3 linked regions of the Lepisosteus oculatus genome follow. The protein of the gene in region 2 binds, or shares a complex with, the protein of the main gene of each other region. Links are inferred from orthologs where the notes say so. Each region holds a gene or a part of one and is shown on either strand. Other genes may lie near its edges.

Region 1 (7,455 bases), on a different chromosome or scaffold from region 2:
TTGTGAACACATTTCTTTTTAAGCAATGCCCTGCATGCACATCACATTGGAACATTTCTGCGATGAAATGTCTGCTACACAACCTGTACATATTGGCTTGTACTTCACATTACATTAGGCTTTCCAGTGACTAGAGAGCAGGAAGGGCCACATCATATCACAGTACGTGGGAGCTCTTGCCCTCGCCTGAAGCAGGGACCGGGGTTTGCAACAAATAGCAAAGTTTTAATTTCCATAACATGAAGGGAGTCATAGCTGTATAAGAAGCTTAATATGAGGTAAAGGGGTTTGTAATCAACATGATGTTCTGTTCCACACCCTTAAGTTATTGCGTAGGACTAAAATATGAGGAGCAAGAAGTCAATTCATGGAAATATTGTGTAGGAAAATGTACCTTAAGGGCAAAAAAAGTATTTAAATGTCAACATGTATACCTTTAGCGTGATTCACCAAGGTACACTGACCTTGTCACTATATATTTCCAACTAAAAGTTAAAGCTCTGGAGATGCCAAAGTTTCAGCACGGAAATAGCACCATCTAGAGGCTAGAATGGAAACCCATGTCTGCGTGCAGGAAAGAAAATTCAAATAACAAATCCTGAGAATTTGAAAAAATACAACTTTTAAGTTAAATTATTTTATTTTCCAGATCAACTATCTTCCCTTTAAAAGCTTTTATTACAAACGAGTTTTTATCTTAGTAGCACAACGTAAACTGATAAGTCCTTATACATTAACAGTCTTGTAAGTCAGTAATCACTAAAAAATTACAGAACTACAGATAGCAAAAAATATTTATAGAAACCCAGTTACATTGCAATTGTAACCATTACACTTAACTGTAATAAAACAAAAACGTCAATATGTAATTTGTAATGAATAAAGCATGATCACTATTACAGATATGAAAGGATACCATCCCACCCACTAGAGAGCCGCTGTCATCAACTTGTGTATATTGCTGTTTTACAGGATATATTTAAGTATGGCCTAAAGTAAAGCTAATTTAACATTTGGATTCAAAGAGCAGAAGAGAACTACCTTTGAATATAGAAACAAGGCTTTAAAAAATACACTGCGGAGACAGCTTTGTCTGTAGTGGTTCTTCATGGCTTTGAGCGTCTGTTTTCCATGAGCAAGCCCAGCATGCAAGAACCAGCTCAATGCAGCTCTGTCTCTAGAATAACCAGTGCTGGACCAGTGCAGTCCCCGTAACTCCTTTCATAAACAATTTGATGGATTGACTACACTGAGGTCTGCTTGTAGTTTTTGGTTTCCAAAACCTTCTTGCCACACATTGCACAGATGCCTAGGAAAACAAGAGACTTATTAGAATCCACAGGTTTTCACACTTCCACAACAAACATTTACTAGGATGACTTGCATACCTGCTTCATTCCTAAATTACTACAATGCCCAGATAAGTAGCTGGATTCTTACCTTTTTTGTAGGCACACCCTTGACAATAGTTTGAACCAGGCTGGTGGACTGAGCTTTTACAAATCCTGCAGATCGCAAATCTGGACTTTCCATAGGGGTCAAACCTAAAACAAAAGATAGGAAAACATGATAAAGACACATAAGGTTAGCTTGTATACTACTAAGGTAAATCTACAAATAAACAGCACATATGCCAACAATGAAAGTCTGGATTTAGTAGTTCTGTGCTAAAGACTCAAAGAATCCTGAGCACACAGTTTTATGAGACAAGCTATCTTGATGGTTTCTCCACTGGTGTCAGCAAGACTATTGATATTATTGGCGCACATAATGGTAGCTGCATTTTACCCGGGGTGCTGCACTTCAGCAGTAAATCAAGTGGGTCACCTTCTATATGTGACAAATTTTGGAATGAAAAGCACTATGTACATTTCCATAGAAAATACAAATGTGAACCATTTTTTTTAATGAAAAGATGCACCTACCTTCCTTTTTTAGAAGTAAGCGCCTTGTTTTCATTCAGCTTGCGGCCACCACTTTCTGCAATTGTAAGAAACAAAGGTGGGTTGATTAATGCCCAACCTTTCTAATGTAATGATGTTTTAGGCTACTCCCCATTATTCGTGGAGCACACATCTTGTTCCAGAAGATGCTGAACACTCCATTATCAACTGCAAAAGTGATCTACGTCTTGAAAACCCTTAGAAAGTGACCGAAAACCTAGATCTGGCAGTACTCAGAATGTATCCGAGTTCAAGAAGGGGAACGGACACATCCAGATCCAGAAATTGATCAGTGTTGGAAAAGGATCTCTGTTAACTGCGTATCTGAGTTCAAAGGCTGCACTTCAAATCTCCGTTTCTTATTTGCTTACGTGTAGCGTAGTGCATTAGTTAGGGTACCTGTTGTGTTTCTGGCTCCATCTTTCCATGTATCCGGAGTGATGACACGGCCGAGTTTCTTTTCACCTGCAAATTACAAAGAGTTTCAGCCAGAGATGAACAGCGGAGTCGCCGTCTCTTCGTTTAAGATCACACGACAGGACGTCTGCCAGTAATACCTACAAACGCCTAGTACAAAGGAAACTAAAAGAAATGAAGAAAATAGTATACAATCGCAATTGCCTCACATTAAAAATGAATGGATATACTGGTTATGTGACTATTTTTTCTAGCATTTCCACTGCGGCACAAATTGTAAACAGCGAAGCAACGTCCCAGTGTTGGCGATTATTACGATTATCACGGAGAGATGATCAGTGCGACCTGTATTCAGAGACAACTATAACAAAGTCACGAAACCACTTACACTTCTCACAAACCATCTTTCTCCTCTCTTAAAACGAGAAAAAAAGAAAATCAATCCACCTACAGCGGAGAAAAGGAAAACAAACTATCTGCTCTGCCGGTGCCAGAGCCGTGTGACAACTTCCCGTCTCGTCCTTCCGTTCAGAAAGAGTGCGTACTGTATACTTCAAACTAAATAAATGCACCTCGACTGTAATTAACCCCCTCTTTGCGTCATTCCTGTACCACCGGCTTTACGACGTCCACTGACATGGCAGAAATAAACTACTGAACTCTACATATTATAGTAAACACATAAAATATATGGGTGTTTATGCGTCTCAAAAAGAATTTACTCCTTCCGGCTAGTCTGCCGTAATATTTTGCATTTTCCCAGGGTTTGTGGGTAGTGACCTTAGACTTTATCCCCGCCCACTCGGATGGCGATTGGGAATCGGTATGAAGCAACTGTTTGATTGGGCAAAATGTACGTCAAGCAAAACACGCCGTGACACCCCCCACGTCCTTGTTTACGCTGTACTGACCTTGCGCAGAATATATTTCATACGGAAATCAGGTATGAATGATACTGTTGTGGGCTATTGTCGTGCATTTGTGCACCACGACTAAAAAAATGGAAAAACACCTTTTAGAGGCTACGTGTTCTTGAGAATAATTCAGATTTTTTTCATTCGCTTGATGTATATAGTAGTTTATTATTTTTTTCCAACGTTGAATGATATTATATAGCAACAATCCGTCCATCTAGAGGGTAAGCCATTTCTTAAAATATAATTACGATCCTATTTTCTCTTGTTGATTATTCAGTTTTATAGGCATAATGTCTGCAGTTTCTTACGCAGTGCATAGTTTTTTGCAGTTTTAAGTTTAATTGGAACGGTAGAGATTTGATACTTGATGATTTACCGGGGCTTGGAAGAATGCTAAAGATGAAATATAACTTTTGAAAAGTTGCAGCTCCTGTAGGAGACGCCAGACCTCTACAAAAGGGTTCCCCGTGTATGTTAAGTTTCTGAACACTGTGACGGTTTGAGACAGAAACTTGTAGTCAGGTTTGCCTTGGCCGCCCGTCTTCAGCTACTCTTGGCTGATCACAAATCCCTCAACGGATATAGACGTGGTGTAAAGCAGTTTTATTCTTTTTTACATTAAAATTGATTTTGAAAATGTCCGATCTTTTGTACCAACGACATTTAAATATTTTTACCTTTTCTACGCAGATTTAGATAAACTAAGGTACAAACACTTAGCTAATATACAGAACCTGGTGATTGCTTGTATACAGTAAGAATTCGCAGCTCCGAAAACCCAAGTTGAGTTTGTGTCCTCTGCACTGGAAGTTTTCTTTACGCAGCTGTATTAGAGTTTTAAGGAAATAATAATTTCTGACAAAATTGAGAACACAGATGGAACTGAAATCAGGTGACCACGTGTCTTCTTGAGTACAGATAGCCAACACTATACAGAGGCCTTTGTCAGCTGTTTTTGGATGTTACTATTGAGTGTTGTACCTTAGCAAGCAGTCTTAAACTCCTGATATTCCCCAGACCTGAACTGATTTAAGTATCCTGAAGTTGGTAGTATTGCGTGCTTGTTTTCCAGCCTGGAATCACCTAGGATCACCATGAAGGATATTGAGATCAAGGGAATGATTTCTGCCCATACCATCATGGCAGCTTCTGTCCTGATGGCCACAGTACTGCCCCTTCTGTTTGTGGATGGGTTTTCAGTCTATGGCACACACCTTGTGTGGCTGTATTCTGTCTCTGGAGCTGTGGCTGCTGTTAACATCACTGTCTATTGGCTGCTGGGCATCAGTCCACCATCTAAGAAGAATACTCTGAGTTACAAGGTGAGGTCTGAGGGAGACTTTCTTCTCTTTGCAGAATCAGCCTGCTTTCACAGGTATTGCACAACCCAATACAACTTTTAAATGTTTTCAGTTATCTTTTTAAAGTACCTTTAATTCAGTTAATGCAGTTTAATTTTAAAATGGAAGTAACACTAGAATAACTGGTATATATGAATCTAGAGATTAACTATATGAATAAAAATACTCTGCACTTATAGTTGATATAGGGACTAGAAGCTTTGAGTGGTTTTCTGTATGCTTGTCCATTGAATTGCATTGGTCTCCACATATATCATTTTGTGGTAACCGAGCCAGCAAACACTATAAAGATATAGTGGGTAATTATTAAACCTGTTTGGTCTTATCCATAGGTGTCTAAAGCCTTCAGGTCCTGCCTGTATTTCATATTATCCTGCTTCCTGTTCCACACAGTTGTTGTCCTGTATGGAGCACCTTTGCTGGAGTAAGTACTTAACAACAAGTCACTAGGAATAGTTTGTCCTGTTACTAAAATGCTCTGCCTGTTCATGTTTCACATCAGGACATATGAGTCAAATAGTCAGTGATGTTTTTGAAAGTCTTTCTCTTGTTTCATTGCATCCTGCTGGTGTGACTGAGATTTGTTTAGGAAAAGTAATTGCTGAGGTCTGAAGTGCCCCACCGGATCCCAGCTTGAAACTAATCCAAACCCTTTTAGAGTGTCTTAAATATTGTCTGAGCAGCGGGTGTAATATTCCTGACTGAATTGACACACATTCCTGGACCAAGAGCAGGGTGTTTTACCCACAAATCATAGCACTTTGCATAAGTGAAATAAAGACCTATTTTCTTGCAAGGACAGGGTGTGCCTTGCTAGGATATGTGTTCTCTTTTCCAGGTCTGCGCTTGAAACCTTTTCCTTTGCTGTCCTGCTGTCCACATTCACCACCCTGCGCTGTCTCTGCATCCTGGGGCCTAACGTCCAGGCCTGGATTCGTGTTTTCAGTCGGGATGGGTGCGTCTCTTATTCTGACTTTCGCACCGCCTGTTTCTGCAGGGGAAGTACCGTTTTCCGGAGTATGCAGAAAGCAGTCCCTTTTGTTACTCACAATCAGATAAATCAGTTTGAGAGCTTAGAAGTGGAGGAGCTTATGTGCATAAATAGGCTGAACTTGCATGAGCATGTCAGAATTTCTATGAAGTATTTTTCAGAATAATATTAAGTGTTTTTATATAAGTCATTGGGCTTATATATAGTAAACAGTACAATTTACTGTAACTGTAGGACCTTTAGTGTCCTACCTTCTGTAGAATACAACAAAACCTATCCACAGGGCGAGAAGAGTCCATTTCTTTCTGAGTGTAATGTCACTGGCAGTTTCTTGTTGGTGTGCAGGAGCTAATGAAGGGAGGAATCCTCGTCGTGTTTTCTTTTTACCTTCAGTACTGACGGCTTTGTAACACGAATGACGTATGCACGGTATATATCATTCAGGAAGAGTCCATATAGCCTCTCTGCATGGGACTGCTGGAGTGCTGACATTAATACTTACAGAACATGGCCTACTGTGAAGTGGTGTGCAGATAAGCTTAGTTCCTGGATTGACATATGTGATGAGTACATACTCATTTTAGTATTATAATATAAGACTGTAGTGTGTTTTTCATTTATCTCATCAATGTGAAATAAGAAATTAATATTTTGCAAAAAGTAGTGTGGCTGTGTGTCATTTTTAAATCTACCACTAGGGGGAATTCTAATGCCACGATTGTTTCTTTACCCTAAGTCCATTAACTTGATTATTTTCTTCCTCTAAAACCTGAAGATAACAGTTTCACAGAATTTTCTTAGATGACTTAGCGTAAATGAGAACAATGAAAAACTAGATTGATTGCATAACAGGCAAGACTGGAAAGCAGTGTGGGGTTGTGTTGAAATGCCACTTGTCCTAGTAAGAGGAAATGGTTATCAAGAACCTGTTTGGGATCTTACTGCAAGTGAAGCGCTGGCACTTGTAAATTTGTTTCAGTGGTTTCTGTGGAAAATGGTTTTGGGGAAGGAGAATACAAAATGTCATGACTACCATTTCCCCACTCAGACAAGAGCTTTTTAAGGAATAGTTCTGCATTATTTAAGGCAATGGTTTTCTGAGAGGATGGTATATCATATAGTTCAGTAAGGTTGGTTTGAGATGAAAGGCACAATACACAATACACAATATTGTAGTTTAGGATTTTGTTTAATTTTCTGTATCCTTATCTTTTTTTAAAACTTTTTATTTTTTCTGCATTTTTTCAAAAGGGGCTTAAGACTAAGGAAACATCATTAAAATGTATTAATTTGAACTTAGGCTTTAGGTGCTCCAAATCTTAAAAGCTGAAGTTTAAAAATCAATAGAGCTACTTATCAAGCTGCTGACGGCAGTGTGGTATTTTTTGTCCGGTTAGGCCTAGCTGCCAGTCAGAGCTACTTAAACTGATTCTTTAGCTAGAATGGAGAGAAGCAGAGATGTACTGATTGGCTGATTGAGTACTTCAAAGTGAAGCACCGCTGCTTGACTTTAATTTCTCCTTGTTGTGAGGTTTCAGGGAAAGCTGCAGCAGGCAGTAGAGAAGAGGTCCGTCTTCACTCCTCTTTCCTGGATTTACCGCATTTCTACTCTGCTCAAAACATATTTTGATGCTATTTAACATTTATTTTCTCAGCACAGATCAGCTTTGAAGCACAATTTTCTTACTACTCCAAAATTTCACTTTTACATAAGTATGTGAATAATTACTCTCACCCGCCGAGAGCTTCTGTAAAGGGCGGGTTGGATGACTCCAGCTGAAGTGGTGTGAACAGTTAAGAACGTGTTGAGGGGAAGCTGGGGCAGC
Region 2 (7,885 bases):
AAAAAAAATCCTGGGTTTCAAGATTCCTTTCTGATAATAAATCAGGATGCAGCAATGTGCTACAAGACCAGCTGATTCAATATTTGTGGGCTGTTTAATTATTATTTTTTCTATAATTTGACCAAATATTTCCCGTTCAATCCCACTCTTTGCTGAGCTAAGCAGGGAGATATGTAGGACACTGAACTCTCCACACCCACTTAAATTATTACTCCACGATCACCTCACTATGGTTCACTGGCTCCCATAGTAGGGAGGCTGCCCGTGCGTTATACTGGAACATGAGGAAACTGCTACTTCGCATGCCAGCTGCCAGTCTGCCAGCTGCCAGTCTGCCAGTGCCAGACACGCACAAGCAGAATCATGCCCTTCATTGGAACTGAACAGGAGGCTGCACCCGACCAGACAGAATATTTCACACAATCTTCCGCCACAATCTTGTTACCACACCTCTCTGGTACCAGCTCCACCGACCTCTTTTTCCAGAAGGAATACATTTTCACGCAGGCCGCAGCGTCTCCTCACAGATTCCTCTGTGCCTCTGTCTTTGACAGCTTTGTCTTTTGCCCTTCCTTGTCGGCCATAGCGAACGATGAACGATTAAATGCGAGGTGGAGGGCACACATGGAAAACAAGAAAAAGTGCACTTAAAAGGTAGAACAGGAGGCACGTCTTTACCCAAAGAGCTGTGGGAGACTGGAACAAGCTAACCAGTCATGCTGTTAAAGCTGAAACCCCGGCTTGTTTCAAGAAACAGCTGGGTGACACCCTTGGATCAATGAACTCCGGAGTATTCCGTCACGCATAGGGTCTTTAACAACGCATTTCACGGGAGTCTGGCCCGGCTCCCGTGACACTGAGGTCTGCCAGCTCTCTGACATCATCAAGGCCAGCCATTCCTCCCATGAGCACTGGGCCTCCTGCTCCTCACTGCAGCGTGCTCAAAGATGAATGGTGTAATGCGTGGGCAGGCTGGAAGAGCCTGTGTGAGCAAAGATGGAATTGGCTGTTCCAAACTGGGTGGCTAAAATCAGGTCCGTGTCTACAGTAGTTACAGTTCCTCTCGCTCTGCCAGATGTGCCTGGAAATCTTACTGATGATGATAGTCTAACTAAACCTATTCATCCTTCCTTATAAGACTGCGTAAAACTTATCATCTGAGAAAAAATGAGTGCTCCTTTTATACCCTGTTAGATTTATATAAACTTTAGACTACAGCCAAACGAAGCTGTTTTTTTTGCTACGGACGCCAGAGAGGTACCATTCTTTTTCGTCACAGTGCATTTTTTACATAGATGCTTTCCTTACTTATCAAGGAGGTAGTTAGCTGAGTTGTAGCATCTGTTCTCATGTGCCATTTCCTCTAATAAGAAAAGTAATGTCTGTAAGAAAATCTCCAGATGTACAGTTGGTTGATAAATATTTTTACAGACAAATTTCAGAGCTGTACTGTGGGGGTAGGGGCCAAAAACATACATCTCTGATGGGGTTCGTGTTACATTTGAATTTCCTGCTTTATATAGTGCACATGAACTCAATTAACCTACCTGGAGTAAAATATTTTTTTTTTAGGAACAAGCAATAGGTTTATTATATGCTGAAAAGAGAAGAAAGAAAACACAATGTTTCAGCCATGGAGCCTTCTTCAGGTGTGTGGATAAATAATGGATGGATAAAAAAAAATATTTTTTTATCCACCATCCATTTTCGAACAGCTGTATCCATTTTAGGGTTGTGGGGGAGCCGGAGCTGATCCTGGCAAGCAACAGGCGCAAGGTGGGATACAGCTGGACAGGATGCCAGTCTGGGTGGGATACACCCTGGACAGGATGCCAGTCTATCACAAGGGAAACATTTCTTACCACAGCAGAAAAATTATTTTGAGCTGTAACTTTTCTCTTCAGTCTTGAACAGTGATTAACAGAAATGATTAGAGAACTGCACATCACCATTACAAATCTTCAAAGGTATGGGCAGGGTGAGCCTAATATAATTACTTTATGCTCAGCACCGCAACTCTGACCCTAAGGAACATTTTAAAGTTATGCAGAAGTGTGTTTTAGCACGGAGAACTGGGGGCAACTCCTTGCACAAAGCTGGCAGTTCATGTTCTTGAAGTCAGTACCTTGAGATTCTTCAAGAAACAGTTGGGTGAGCTCTTGGGTTATACAGCCGATATTATTCTTGACTTTCTAGACTGACAGCTTCAGTCCTTGGACATAGAGCCCTGTGGTTTTAATTCCATCACGGATTTTAACTAAATAATTCTTCGGATAAGAAGTTGAATCGCCTGCTTTTAGGGTTTTAATCAGTTGGTAACTGAAACGCTCCTGTAAAACCAGTGGAAACGTGGAGGTTCTCCAGAAGAACACGTCGTTAATTCAACTCTTTGGATGAGCAGAGCTACAAAGTGTGAAGGCTAGTAGATAGTGCCACCATCTGGTCACTTACTGAAAGCATCTACACTTTATTCATTACAGACGATGTTTTCTATCCTCATGATTATGCGCGATACGTGCCCTGATTATCTCCCGAGACATCCTGCTCGGCCGGCCAGCAAAGGCTTTATCGTTCATTGAAGACAATTATCCTCGACCCCCGAGGGTTAGCCAGTGAATAATATTTTATGGCTACTTCTCATTTACGGATAACCTTAAAGTGGTCATGACTAATTATTGAGAATATTTAAATTTCACACCTAAAAATGTAATAGTCGCTTTATTTGATCTTTCGAATAAAGGCATTCTGTGATATGTTCTAAAAATATTTACACCACATTGTCAAAGTGAAAACGGTTTCAAAACAGCATTGTGAAATTAAAGCAAGTGTTCTAAAAACATCCAATATAGGTAATAAATTTATATTTAACTGTGTTGCTAAACGAGAAATTAGAAAAAAACAGAGAAGCAAGAAAGAACAAGAATGTTTTGGGGAGAGGACGAGATCATTGTGTAATTTATGATAGCAGCAAGTTTGGGATTATTTTGACAGTTCTAATTAAACCCGAATCCCCCATTAAAAAACGTGTTTTTAAAGCCAAGCAACAAATACGTCTAATTTTATACAAATTGTTGTAAAAAGACAGAATATTTTGTCTTAATATGACATAAAATAGAAGATTCTTGAAAAAAAAACATTTTATAGTATTAATTAATCCTTAGACTTTTTTTCTAGAGCACAAACATTTCCTAAAGAAAATTAAATTTCGAAAGTAAATTTCTAATACAACTTATATTATACTTTTTAGACAACAAGCTTTTTGGGGACTTTTGGTTTGGCGTTGTTTTACTTTTTAGTAAAAGCTTTTATGTTTCTGTAACTTTCTGCATCTTTTACTGTCCCTCTCGTAGTCTGAATATACATTACAAAATGAAAGAAGGCTGTAGTCATAAGGTCGACATAAAATATCCGGTCACAATATTCAAGCAAAGCATGTGCATGGCCATAATTACCAAATATAATTCTAATGAAACATATATTGTAATGGATTCGGGTTCGGCAAGGAATGGAGCAGGCATGGGACTCGGGGAATGGGGTTGAACAACACATTTATTAACTCAAACCGGGGAAAGGTACACACACAGGGACAGGGGTTACAGCGCTGCACCTTCACTAACACACCCACCTTGCGTGCACATGGCTAAAGCGCCCTGCGTGGCGCTACATTGCCCCCAGCTGAAGAGTCGAGTGTCCCGCCGACTCCAAACCGCCCCTCCAGGCTGCTCCGTGGGCTCCTCCTCTAGCCTCTCCGTGTGGGCCAAGGACCTCCATCGGGGCAGGCTCTCCGGCCAGGCCAGGACCCTCCTGGTGGGGGGCCGACCTGAGGCGGCAGCGGCGAGGGCGCATACCCACGGGAACCCCGGATTAATACATTACGCGGCAACTCTTCTATTTCGACCAAAACTTCTAAAGCAATTCCCTTCAGTACTCTATGGGGATAGAGGGCGCTATGGAGGTGCCCTCATTGGGATGAGCCGTTGAATCAGAGTTACAGAAATTTATTTTTACAATAAAATAACAAATATACTCCAATTTGATTCTTAATGTTTCGAACTTTTTTTCGAAACGCTCAGTGGGTTCTCACAGAAACTTCCCTTATTTGCTGCCAGCCAATTGTTACCAACGACACAGAGCTTAACCACGAAGTACCCCAATCGTCAATTACAATATCTACAATATCTGTTCTCTTCTGTCATACGTATATAACACATATTTGTATGATGCGTGTCATATCACTCAATTTAGACCGGCGGTACAGTCTTTTTTCCGTTTCGCCGAGGTTTCTGTCGGTAGTGACCGTCTATGGTTGCTGCTCTAGCAAACCCGCTTGCTACAATATTACAGTCGTGGTGTATATTGCGGGGATGCGGCTCTAAGATTTCGGGACGGACGTTTTACTCCTGATAATGGGAAGCAGCATATGCAGTCAGCGTTCGGGCATGAGACAATATATTACATATTTGATGTAAGCATGATACCTCGTTTACGCACTTGTTTAACCTCAATAATTGTACCGTGCGGCCTTCTAGGACCACAATGCTTGCATGTTAATTAACATTAATGTAAGTTAGACAATGATCATGGATACCATCGTGCATTTCTAAAACATTATTGGAGACAACCATAATACTGTTCATATATCAACCTCTTCACACAGCTATTTTCCCGCACTGAGAAGCGCAATACACCCCGTAGCCAATCAAATTAAAAGGTCTAGAATGTATCCAATTAAAGTACACTTCCCCCTCGGGTTCAAAGGTGAGAGGTCGGGGTAAGGAAGTACTTCCTACTTTGGACGGTGCGGCGTGCGGTGTTTTGTATGAGACTAACAAGACAAAGGTTTTATTATTGAACGATAAAAATGGTGAGTGTGTTTGAGAGATCTCGATTTTAATTGTGATGTGCGAGTTTGCGCTTGATGTATGGTTTCAATCTGATATGTTAGCGCTGGCTACATAAATATTTCCTTTCATTTGTTCTGATGAATTACTAGGCCTCGGTACTGGATCAGAAAGTACTTTTAAATGCGTTGAGAAATCAGTTCTCCGACAGTTCTACATTTTCGATATTGATTTTGCATAAGATGTACGATATGTTTAGGCAGTGAAGGTACTGGAATTCACTATGTCGAGTTTAACAAAATTGAGAAACAGAATAGATGATCTTCCGAGTATTCCGGGCAGAAGACAAGACGTGAAAATACAGTCTTCGTGCAATTCTTAATAGGAGAAAGTTCAGGAAGCGTGGAACTTTTTTAAAACAAGTACGACCGCCCAAATCCAGAGTATATTGTTAAGGATGGTTGAAGGATGCTTTTAATCTAATCAGAATGTCTATTTTCTTGTGCAATTAAATAGTTATGTATGTGTGGAGTTGTAGTAATGGTTTAGGCTTCTGACTCCAGACCAGGTCCAGGGATTCAATTATTAAGTGTGGCTGTTGTTGTACTTTAAAGCAAGTTATTTCACTCAGATTATTCCAAAAGCGGACCTAACCTATAAATGGGTTAGGTTCGAGTCGCCAGTGCGCAGGAGGATTCATTCTCAATTGACTTGTGTGCTTAAAGACTTATTATAACATCATCCAGGTAGACCAGAACAGGCTATCATGTAGAGGAAATGCATGTAATACTGTCCATCCCTCGTCCCTCACTCACAGCAGGTTGTGCTCTCTAATGACCTTGTTGGGATTTGATAGTCTGACTAGCCAAAACATCTCTGAATCTGGATTTCTGGTCAGGCTGGACTGCAGAGTAATGCCAAAAGACATTAGACTGCAGAATCGAGATGGACACTGACCAGAATTCATCTCCCCCAGAACCTGATGTGAATTGTGTGCCACTAAAAAATTGGGGGAAAAATCAGTGTGAATGAAAAACCTTCAGTTTTTTCAGTTCATGCTGTTTCACCACAGTTTCACCACACATAAATCATTTTTGAACTCCTGAGTCATTGTATTGGAATAATAATTCTAGAAATGTATCTTACTCATTATCCTTGAAAAAATGTTAAACTGATTTTTCTATACCTAATATTGCAGTGCACGCACAACTTGTCATTTAACAATAACAGAATATTGAATAGATATAAATATTGCATTTATTGTTTTTTGTTCACTGAAAATTCAGGCCACAACGACATGTCTGAAAAGGCTAATTTGTCTTTTGTGAGGGCGTACATACAGTTTCATTATCATTCACTGGATACTTCGTTTACTTTTTTTTGTAGCTGTATTTTTTTAAGACATAGGCAAGATGTTGTCCAATTGTCTGTGAGAAAAGGGTATATTTGTTTTATCTCCCTTCACTTGGTAAGGGTTAATGGTGCTTGCTGTCTTTGTAGAGTTTGCCTCTGAACCCCAAGCCCTTCCTCAATGGCCTGACAGGAAAACCAGTGATGGTGAGGCTCAAGTGGGGGATGGAGTACAAAGGATATTTGGTCTCAGTCGATGGGTACATGAATATGCAGGTATGTAAACATGGATGCGTGGTGGAACATGGCTGCTCACATGTCTATGATGGGTATTAGGATTTCATTTTTTACATTTGACTACATTTTTGGCAGACCAGCACTGAAGAGTTTCTTAAACATTCATGCCAATGAAACTGATGATCGAAAGCACAGGGTTGAGTTTGTCCTTATGGTTACTTTTCTCATTTAGATTGGGGGGGAACAAATGACCATGTTGAATGATTATATGTGATCCTTAATGATCCTTTATACAGTATGTGTTCTGGGTGTAGTGAGTTTTACACATTACTTTTGTCTATCCTGTAAATTTTAACTTTGTAGGAAACGCATTTGTAGAGATTGATAAGTCATGTTTGTGCTCCTATTTCTTTTCACAGCTTGCCAACACTGAAGAGTATGTTGACGGAGCACTGGCCGGTCATTTAGGAGAAGTGCTTGTGAGGTAGGCAACTAAGCAGAGCACAAGAGTGCTAGTTTTTAACTTAAAAAAAAAAGTTAACTTAAAATTTTTTGAGTTGACGTATGTGGTTAAATAAAGCTTTATTTGACTGGATATTGTTAAAATCATTGAAGCATGATGATGATGAAATCAAATGAAATTGATAATGCATGTCTTTTGAATTTCATGGTGTATAGTAAGTCTTCCATAATAATTGTAATTGAGAATTAAAGAATTGGCTATGGAATCACACTAATTGTTTGATCCTAAATGTGTTGTCATGCCATTTAACAACATGTACCACTCTTCTTTGTTTTGATTCAAGGAAGGAAGATTTCAGTGAATTCTGTGTCTGCTGTATTATAATCGGCTAAAGCATGTCAGAATACGTTACAATGCATCGATTTTGTATTGGAGTAGTTGGGGAATTTGTGACCTTTGTGGATTTCCTGATGAGCAGAAATGTTCTTGTCTTGTACAGGTGCAATAACGTCCTATACATCAGAGGTGTTGAGGAAGAAGAAGAAGATGGAGAAATGAGAGAATAAAACATTGTGAAGAAATTCTTGATTCTGGGTCACTGATTTTTACATAGTAATTAGAAATGTCACTTTTTTTACGCCATATAAAAAGCCTGTGATCTGTGATAGATTCTTTGGTAGGCAGGAAGCTTGAAATGGAGCCTGTAATTTCCTACCAAAGAAGAAAAAGCTGTTTTTGTTTATGTATCGAAAACTTAACGTGGTTGTCTAACATTGTGCTTCAGGAGCAGCACTGATGTAATAAAATTGTGCATATTGCACTTTCTTAGAATTTGTGATTGAGTATTTTTTAATGAACCACAAGGAATGGTTAGAGTGTTTTCTGGATGGGAATTGAGGAGGATCATTTATGCAAATTAGTTTTTGCCCTGCTAAGTGAAGATATCTGCGACATTAATAATCCTGTTACAAAGGCATGTATATCACTGATGGAG
Region 3 (7,644 bases), on a different chromosome or scaffold from region 2:
ACAACCCCAGCCCCTCGCCCAGCTACCCCCCCCAGCCCCCCTGCCCCTCGCCCAGCTACCCCCCCACAACCCCAGCCCCTCGCCCAGCTACCCCCCCCAGCCCCCCTGCCACCCGCCCAGCTACCCCCCCACAACCCCAGCTACCACACCACCACCCCCCCAGCCCCTCACCCAGCTACCCCCCCACAACCCCAGCTACCACACCACCACCCCCCCAGCCCCTCACCCAGCTACCCCCCCCCAGCCCCCCTGCCCCTCGCCCAGCTACCCCCCCACAACCCCAGCCCCTCGCCCAGCTACCCCCCCCAGCCCCCCTGCCACCCGCCCAGCTACCCCCCCACAACCCCAGCTACCACACCACCACCCCCCCAGCCCCTCACCCAGCTACCCCCCCCAGCCCCCCTGCCCCTCGCCCAGCTACCCCATCCAACTGCCCTGCCCCTTGCCCAGCTACCCCCCCACCCCAGCTACCCCATCGCCACCCCCCCTGCCCCTCGCCCAGCTACCCCATCCAACTGCCCAGCCCCCCCCTCACCTTCAGGTCCCGCTTGCGGTTCTTCTCGCCCCCGGAGCGGGAGTTCCGGGAGCTGCGCCCCTCCTCCACCGCCTCGAACAGCCGGTCCACGAACTTCGCCGTCGACTCGTCCAGGAACGGCTTCAGCTGGTCTGGGGGGGGAGCACAGGGCAAGCGGTCAGCGCAAGGCGGCCGCAGGCCTCAGGGCGACGGGCAGCGGCCGGCCGGCCGGCCACACGGACCTGTGGTCTTGCGCTTGTCCAGCCCCTTGCCGACGCAGTGCAGCGCGGCCGTGACGACGGTGGGCTCGGAGAAGCCCAGCACCTTCTTGACCGTCCGCTCCACCCAGGGGCGGAGCTCCTCCAGCTCCCGCTTCGACAGCGACATCCCAGCCCTGCGGACACAGAGCACCCGGTCACTCGGCTCGTGTACATCAGTCAGTCCCTCGGTCCAGCGCTCCCTCGGTCCAGCGCTCCCTCAGACGGTCCCTCAGTCCAGCGCTCTCTCAGACGGTCCCTCAGTCCAGCGCTCTCTCAGTTGGTCCCTCAGTCAGTCCCTCAGTCCAGCGCTCTCTCAGTTGGTCCCTCAGCTGGTCCCTCAGTCCAGCTCTCCCTCAGCTGGTCCCTCAGTCCAGCTCTCCCTCAGTCGGTCCCTCAGTCCAGCTCTCCCTCAGTCGGTCCCTCAGTCCAGCTCTCCCTCAGTCGGTCCCTCAGTCCAGCTCTCCCTCAGTCAGTCCCTGTCCAGCTCTCCCTCAGTCAGTCCCTCAGTCCAGCTCTCCCTCAGTCGGTCCCTCAGTCCAGCTCTCCCTCAGCTGGTCCCTCAGTCCAGCTCTCCCTCAGTCGGTCCCTCAGTCCAGCTCTCCCTCAGTCGGTCCCTGTCCAGCTCTCCCTCAGTCAGTCCCTCAGTCCAGCTCTCCCTCAGTCGGTCCCTCAGTCCAGCTCTCTCTCAGTCGGTCCCTCAGTCCAGCTCTCTCTCAGTCGGTCCCTCAGTCCAGCTCTCTCTCAGTCGGTCCCTCAGTCCAGCTCTCTCTCAGCTGGTCACTCAGTCCAGCGCTCTGTCACACGGTCACTCAGTCCAGTTCTCTCTCAGCTGGTCACTCAGTCCAGCTCTCTCTCACACGGTCACTCAGTCCAGCTCTCTCTCACACGGTCACTCAGTCCAGCTCTCTCTCACACGGTCCCTCAGTCCAGCTCTCTCTCACACGGTCCCTCAGTCCAGCTCTCTGTCACACGGTCACTCAGTCCAGTTCTCTCTCAGCTGGTCACTCAGTCCAGCTCTCTCTCACACGGTCACTCAGTCCAGCTCTCTCTCACACGGTCACTCAGTCCAGCTCTCTCTCACACGGTCACTCAGTCCAGCTCTCTCTCACACGGTCACTCAGTCCAGCGCTCTCTCACACGGTCCCTCAGTCCAGCTCTCTCTCACACGGTCACTCAGTCCAGCGCTCTCTCAGCTGGTCACTCAGTCCAGCGCTCTCTCAGCTGGTCACTCAGTCCAGCGCTCTCTCACACGGTCCCTCAGTCCAGCGCTCTCTCAGTCGGTCCCTCAGTCCAGCGCTCTCTCAGTCGGTCCCTCAGTCGGTCCCTCAGTCCAGTTCTCTCTCAGCTGGTCACTCAGTCCAGCTCTCTCTCACACGGTCACTCAGTCCAGCTCTCTCTCACACGGTCACTCAGTCCAGCTCTCTCTCACACGGTCACTCAGTCCAGCTCTCTCTCACACGGTCACTCAGTCCAGCTCTCTCTCACACGGTCACTCAGTCCAGCTCTCTCTCACACGGTCACTCAGTCCAGCTCTCTCTCACACGGTCACTCAGTCCAGTGCTCTCTCAGCTGGTCACTCAGTCCAGCGCTCTCTCACACGGTCCCTCAGTCCAGCGCTCTCTCACACGGTCCCTCAGTCCAGCTCTCTCTCACACGGTCACTCAGTCCAGCGCTCTCTCACACGGTCACCAGAGGCTCCACTGCCAGCATGAGCTCAGAGAGCCCCAGCGCGCCCCTCAGTGTATCCACTCCAGATCTTACAGTGTTGATAGTCCGCCTCCCAGCTGCCCCATCCACCCCAGGACTTACGCCCAGCAGTGCGCTATGGTGCTAACTGTGATGCTACAGGAAACATACTAAGCATTTTTGCAATTATTATACTATCTGTTCAATTAATTATACAAGAAAGTTGTCAACGTGACACATCCATGCCCTCGTACATACACGACCCTGTGCACTAGGAGTCTCAAGTCCTGCGGTTACAATGTCTAATTATATCCGGGATATAAAAGTTTCGCTGATGAACATCAACAGTTCTGAAACACTTCCTAAAACCCATATTCCCCAGTAACTACACCGATAAACAAAAGTACGACGATAATGTGGCGCGTTAACACCGTCCGTTCCTCTTCCAATCGGTACTCACCACGCGGGTTCACTTGAAATGGGTAAACGTTGACTTTTTAAGTAAAATATCAGCAGTTTCGTTTTAAAAAATATTACTATAATCGAAAAAAAAAACTCAACAGTAAAATAAACCCGAACAGCTCCCGAAGAAGAGTGAACTCTTCGGCTCGCACGGCGCGACACCAACAACGTACAGGGAACGTCCGGCCGGAAGCGGAAATGGCGTCACGAAGCCCATCGTCCCAAAGGATGTAAACGAAGCCGTAGTCCTTGTCACATGACGGGGGAGAGCATTCTTTTTAAGCGACTGCTTCTCAGTGACGTTTCCACGTTATCTGCAGTTAAAGCAGCTGGGCAGTGGCATTTTAGTGCAGTCTGTTGTTTTACTTAGCTTTTGCGAATTTTTCGATTTCAACGACCATTCACACCCTGCAAGTAACACTCCGGCCCGCTAGCGGGGGATCCTTCATTGGCAGGGTCAGCTTTTCACATCCCAGTCAACCCATACAGTCGGGCGTGGTTACTGGAAATATTTTTTGTGAAACAGATGCCTCGCATGGTAGTAGCAATTACAACGCGGCTTAAAGTTTTTAAAACCCATAATTAAACGAAGGTTGCAACAATAGAAAGACGGAAAATTTTCTTCTCTGGTAGTTCGAGGCGCAGTTCGTGCATGCGCCACAAGAGGGCGGTGTGACTGTGTGAAAAGCGAGCAGAAAAAAATGAAAAGTACAGATGGATGACCGACACTGCACTGCACTCCACACGTACAAACGTGCGCTGTGAGGTAGCAATGTTGACCCTGGAGCCACCCTGTCTCGATATGGAGTTGAGCTTGACTTGATCTGCTTCTCCTTCACTCCTGAGCTGGCTCATACAAAGGAAGTCCTCACTCCTGCACAACCTGAAACATGAATCAATCAAGTGAAATGGCCGACAGAAAACGGCAGTCCCCACATTCCATCTCTACAGGCAAGGACACGGTGAACGAGAGTGATAGTAGGGCTAAAATAACCTTCTCAATTTGCCATCAGAAAGATTTAGAAAATATTGAATCTGCATTGTCTATCGCTTTTCTGACCCAGTTCTGCTTTCTGAAGGCTAATGAAGTGATTGTTCTGTGTAGACTCGTTTGTTATTTTTAATGGTAAAACTGGTTTTGATTTGACTAATTCATTGTATTAGTGTTACATCTGCAGTATGTCTTGTCTGGGCACCGGCTGCCGTGTGAGATAAGCATGATCTGTGGGAGAACCCTGTCTCGTTACTGAGAGTGGGAGCCCAGGCCACACGGATAATTAAACTGACCGCGGTCCCCTCCGTTCGTCTGATGAGAACACATCAGTGGCATCGCTGTCTCGCCTGCAGCCCCTCCAGCCCTTCAGAGCTGGGAGAGCTGGAGCAGCTGGCCTGCGGAGAGGGGGCCAAACTGCCCCGGAGCTCATCGAGGGGCACAGGAAGCGCTTGGAAGTTCTGGCTCCAAAATAAAGGTTCGGTAATCTTAACAGTGAAAGAAAGAATTGTGGAGACTAAATACTTTGGTCAATTTCAACTTAGTTTTTGAAAAACAAATATCGGCACCTTTGTAAAAAGTGCAAGATTGCCAATATCTTTGGCCACGACTGTATGTCGTACTCGTGACTCGTGTGCAGTGTCAGTGTCTCTATAGGACTCGTGTACAGTGTCAGTGTCAGTGTCTCTGTAGGGCTGGTGTACAGTGTCAGTGTCTCTGTAGGGCTGGTGTACAGTGTCAGTGTCTCTGTAGGACTGGTGTACAGTGTCAGTGTCTCTGTAGGGCTGGTGTACAGTGTCAGTGTCTCTGTAGGGCTGGTGTACAGTGTCAGTGTCTCTGTAGGGCTGGTCTACAGTGTCAGTGTCTCTATAGGACTGGAGTACAGTGTCAGTGTCTCTGTAGGGCTGGTGTACAGTGTCAGTGTCTCTGTAGGGCTGGTGTACAGTGTCAGTGTCTCTGTAGGACTCGTGTACAGTGTCAGTGTCTCTATAGGGCTGGTGTACAGTGTCAGTGTCTCTGTAGGACTGGTGTACAGTGTCAGTGTCTCTATAGGGCTGGTGTACAGTGTCAGTGTCTCTGTAGGGCTGGTGTGCAGTGTCAGTGTCTCTATAGGGCTGGTGTACAGTGTCAGTGTCTCTGTAGGGCTGGAGTACAGTGTCAGTGTCTCTGTAGGGCTGGTGTACAGTGTCAGTGTCTCTATAGGGCTGGTGTACAGTGTCAGTGTCTCTGTAGGGCTGGTGTGCAGTGTCAGTGTCTCTGTAGGACTCGTGTACAGTGTTAGTGTCTCTATAGGATGCCTGTTACTCAATAGGAAGGTTGCAGTGTGCTTGCTGAAGTGCTGCTCTCCTTGTTAAAGTGGGTCAAGGACTTGAATGGCCTGGGGTGGCTCTGTCTGTGGAGCGTGGAGCAGCTCCAGACCGAGCTGGGGAGGGATCCCAGTCTTTCAGAGCGAGGGGCGCCTGCGGCAGGGGGAGAGGGGATCTGAGCTGTGTGAGACAGAGAGTGGGGGAGGGGCTCTGTGCTTACTCACTCGTTCTCTAACTCCTGCACTCCGGCTCCCTGCTGGGCTCATCCACTGTGGTGCATTAGAGCTCACGCAAGGAGCACAGAGCTGGGCTGGTACACACGCACGCACGCACACACACACACACACACACACACTGACACCCAGACTGGCTTGTCCTCCTGTCTCTGAGAACACACACACACTGACACCCAGACTGGCTTCTCCTCCTGTCTCTGAGAACACACACACACACACTGACACCCAGACTGGCTTCTCCTTCTGTCTCTGAGAACACACACACACACACACACACACACACACACACTGTAACAGTGTGTAAATACTGTACATTTGTGCTGCTCTAAAGGCAGACTTGCCTCGTGCCTGGATCTGGCGAGTTAATTCAAGTGGCTGCAATCTGTGTTGTATAAATAATAAAAGCGCGAATAATAAACTGCACTCAGCCCATCGCTGGCATCACGCAGCCTGGTCCGCGCTGGACCCCCCTTCCCTCCCCGCTCAGTCCCCAGGGCCTGGGGGAGGGGAGCAGACATGTCCCGAGTCCCGAATCCCACCTCGCCCGCCGAGCGAAGGGGGGGGCCGGGCCGAGCCGAGGACGCAGACGGAGTCTTTGTTCTGCGTAGCCGGAGAGCGGAGGCCGCCTGCGAGACAGCGGAGCCGCGATCCGCGACCGGCCCCCCTCGGCCAGCGCCCCCTGGCTGTGTTAGTGCGTGCTCGCCTTTGTGCTCGGTGTTGTGCCGTGCCTGGCGTCGGTCCACTCTGCTCCTGCCGCTTGGTGCTTTCCTGGCCCAGGCCCGCTCCCCTGTCCTCTCCCACCCCTGCAGGAGCAGGAAGCTGGGGGAGGGGAGGGTAAGCTCTCGTCTCATCGCCCCGTGTCCCAAATCCAGCGGCTCTGCATGCGATAGAGGAGGGGGTCCACGCAGGGGGTGAGGATACTGTAGTCATCCCTTGACACCCCTAAATAAATCCCTTCCCTCTGAGGCCCAGCTGGGGGGGATCTCGCAGCACATTTTCCCCAAACCCCACCGCCCCCCCCGTCCCTCAGGTCGAAACCCTCCCACATCCCAGTGCACAGCCCGGCTTTTCCCTGGAAATACAGGGATGAAAAATCATCACAGGGATCTGGGGATCTGTGATCAGGGGTCCTGGGCTCTTCAGCGACCAGATAGATCACCACAGGGATCTGTGATCGGGCACCTGGGCTTTTCACCAACCAGAGACTGGCTGGGCGGTAGATGCACAGGAGTTAAAATCTCGTATGGATCACGAGCACCAGCTTCGAGCAGCAAAGCAGACAAAACACGGACACCTGCAGTTCCTTTCCAAACACTGGCAGTTTATTCGGATTCTGGGACGGCAGTTCCTCGGGGAGGGGAGCAAAGTAAGATGGGGTGACCTGTACAGCACCCCACCAGGAGAGACGCTTTTAAACTGGTCTGATATAAAATTAACAAGTGAAAACATTGTAGCAAAAACAGGGCGAAACGCCCACAGCTGTTCGAATAAAAACACAGGGACAGCGACAGCAGAATTCATTGAAGAGCAGAGGGTCACCCCTCACCTGGGTCAGAGCTCAGGATTCCTCATACAACACATCATCATCAGAGCTGGAGAGTCACTGTACAGACACTCAGTCCAGCTCCTCTGTATCTTCACATGAACACTCCTTCATCATCATCAGAGCTGGAGAGTCACTGTACAGACACTCAGTCCAGCTCCTCTGTATCTTCACATGAACACTCCTTCATCATCATCAGAGCTGGAGAGTCACTGTACAGACACTCAGTCCAGCTCCTCTGTATCTTCACATGAACACTCTTTCATCATCATCAGAGCTGGAGAGTCACTGTACAGACACTCAGTCCAGCTCCTCTGTATCTTCACATGAACACTCCTTCATCATCATCAGAGCTGTAAAGGAAGAGAGTGCTGTGTAGTGTTTCAGTGTGTCATTGTGTATACATCAGTGTGTAGTGTGTTTATGTATAAAATACCCTTCAACACACTTTTAGACAAACACATGCAACCTGTACAACAGGCCTCATTCTGTCCCACGTCTCACTGCCCCCTGGGGCACCGCGGGGTCACACAGCGACCCCTCCTTGTTCATGGGGGGCCTCCCTCTCCAGAGGGGAGGTCCTGTCAACCACGAGGCAAGAGGCCAGACCCAGGGGGGGACTTTCCTAGAGCATTCTGGGAGTTC

The links.
Region 1: snrpf (region 2) and cript share a complex: the UniProt entries of both Homo sapiens proteins name them as parts of the minor spliceosome. The link is inferred for Lepisosteus oculatus from reciprocal best matches to the Homo sapiens genes SNRPF and CRIPT.
Region 3: snrpf (region 2) and prpf3 share a complex: the UniProt entries of both Homo sapiens proteins name them as parts of the U4/U6-U5 tri-snRNP complex. The link is inferred for Lepisosteus oculatus from reciprocal best matches to the Homo sapiens genes SNRPF and PRPF3.

The regions. Positions count from the first base shown.
Region 1 is NC_090712.1:13,353,683-13,361,137, forward strand, and holds cript (cysteine-rich PDZ-binding protein), read right to left. Parts: upstream 3,122-7,455; 5' UTR 2,765-3,121; coding exon 2,749-2,764; intron 2,409-2,748; coding exon 2,343-2,408; intron 1,981-2,342; coding exon 1,926-1,980; intron 1,545-1,925; coding exon 1,441-1,544; intron 1,310-1,440; coding exon 1,245-1,309; 3' UTR 622-1,244; downstream 1-621. Other genes in the region: pigf (phosphatidylinositol-glycan biosynthesis class F protein), read left to right, coding at 4,372-4,599, 4,971-5,062, 5,477-5,593. UniProt on the Homo sapiens protein: As a component of the minor spliceosome, involved in the splicing of U12-type introns in pre-mRNAs. Involved in the cytoskeletal anchoring of DLG4 in excitatory synapses.
Region 2 is NC_090702.1:41,356,341-41,364,225, forward strand, and holds snrpf (small nuclear ribonucleoprotein F), read left to right. Parts: upstream 1-4,754; 5' UTR 4,755-4,861; coding exon 4,862-4,864; intron 4,865-6,341; coding exon 6,342-6,467; intron 6,468-6,847; coding exon 6,848-6,912; intron 6,913-7,390; coding exon 7,391-7,457; 3' UTR 7,458-7,722; downstream 7,723-7,885. UniProt on the Homo sapiens protein: Plays a role in pre-mRNA splicing as a core component of the spliceosomal U1, U2, U4 and U5 small nuclear ribonucleoproteins (snRNPs), the building blocks of the spliceosome.
Region 3 is NC_090722.1:7,131,789-7,139,432, forward strand, and holds the start of prpf3 (U4/U6 small nuclear ribonucleoprotein Prp3), read right to left. Parts: upstream 3,122-7,644; 5' UTR 2,921-3,121; intron 909-2,920; 5' UTR 902-908; coding exon 757-901; intron 667-756; coding exon 536-666; intron 1-535. UniProt on the Homo sapiens protein: Plays a role in pre-mRNA splicing as component of the U4/U6-U5 tri-snRNP complex that is involved in spliceosome assembly, and as component of the precatalytic spliceosome (spliceosome B complex).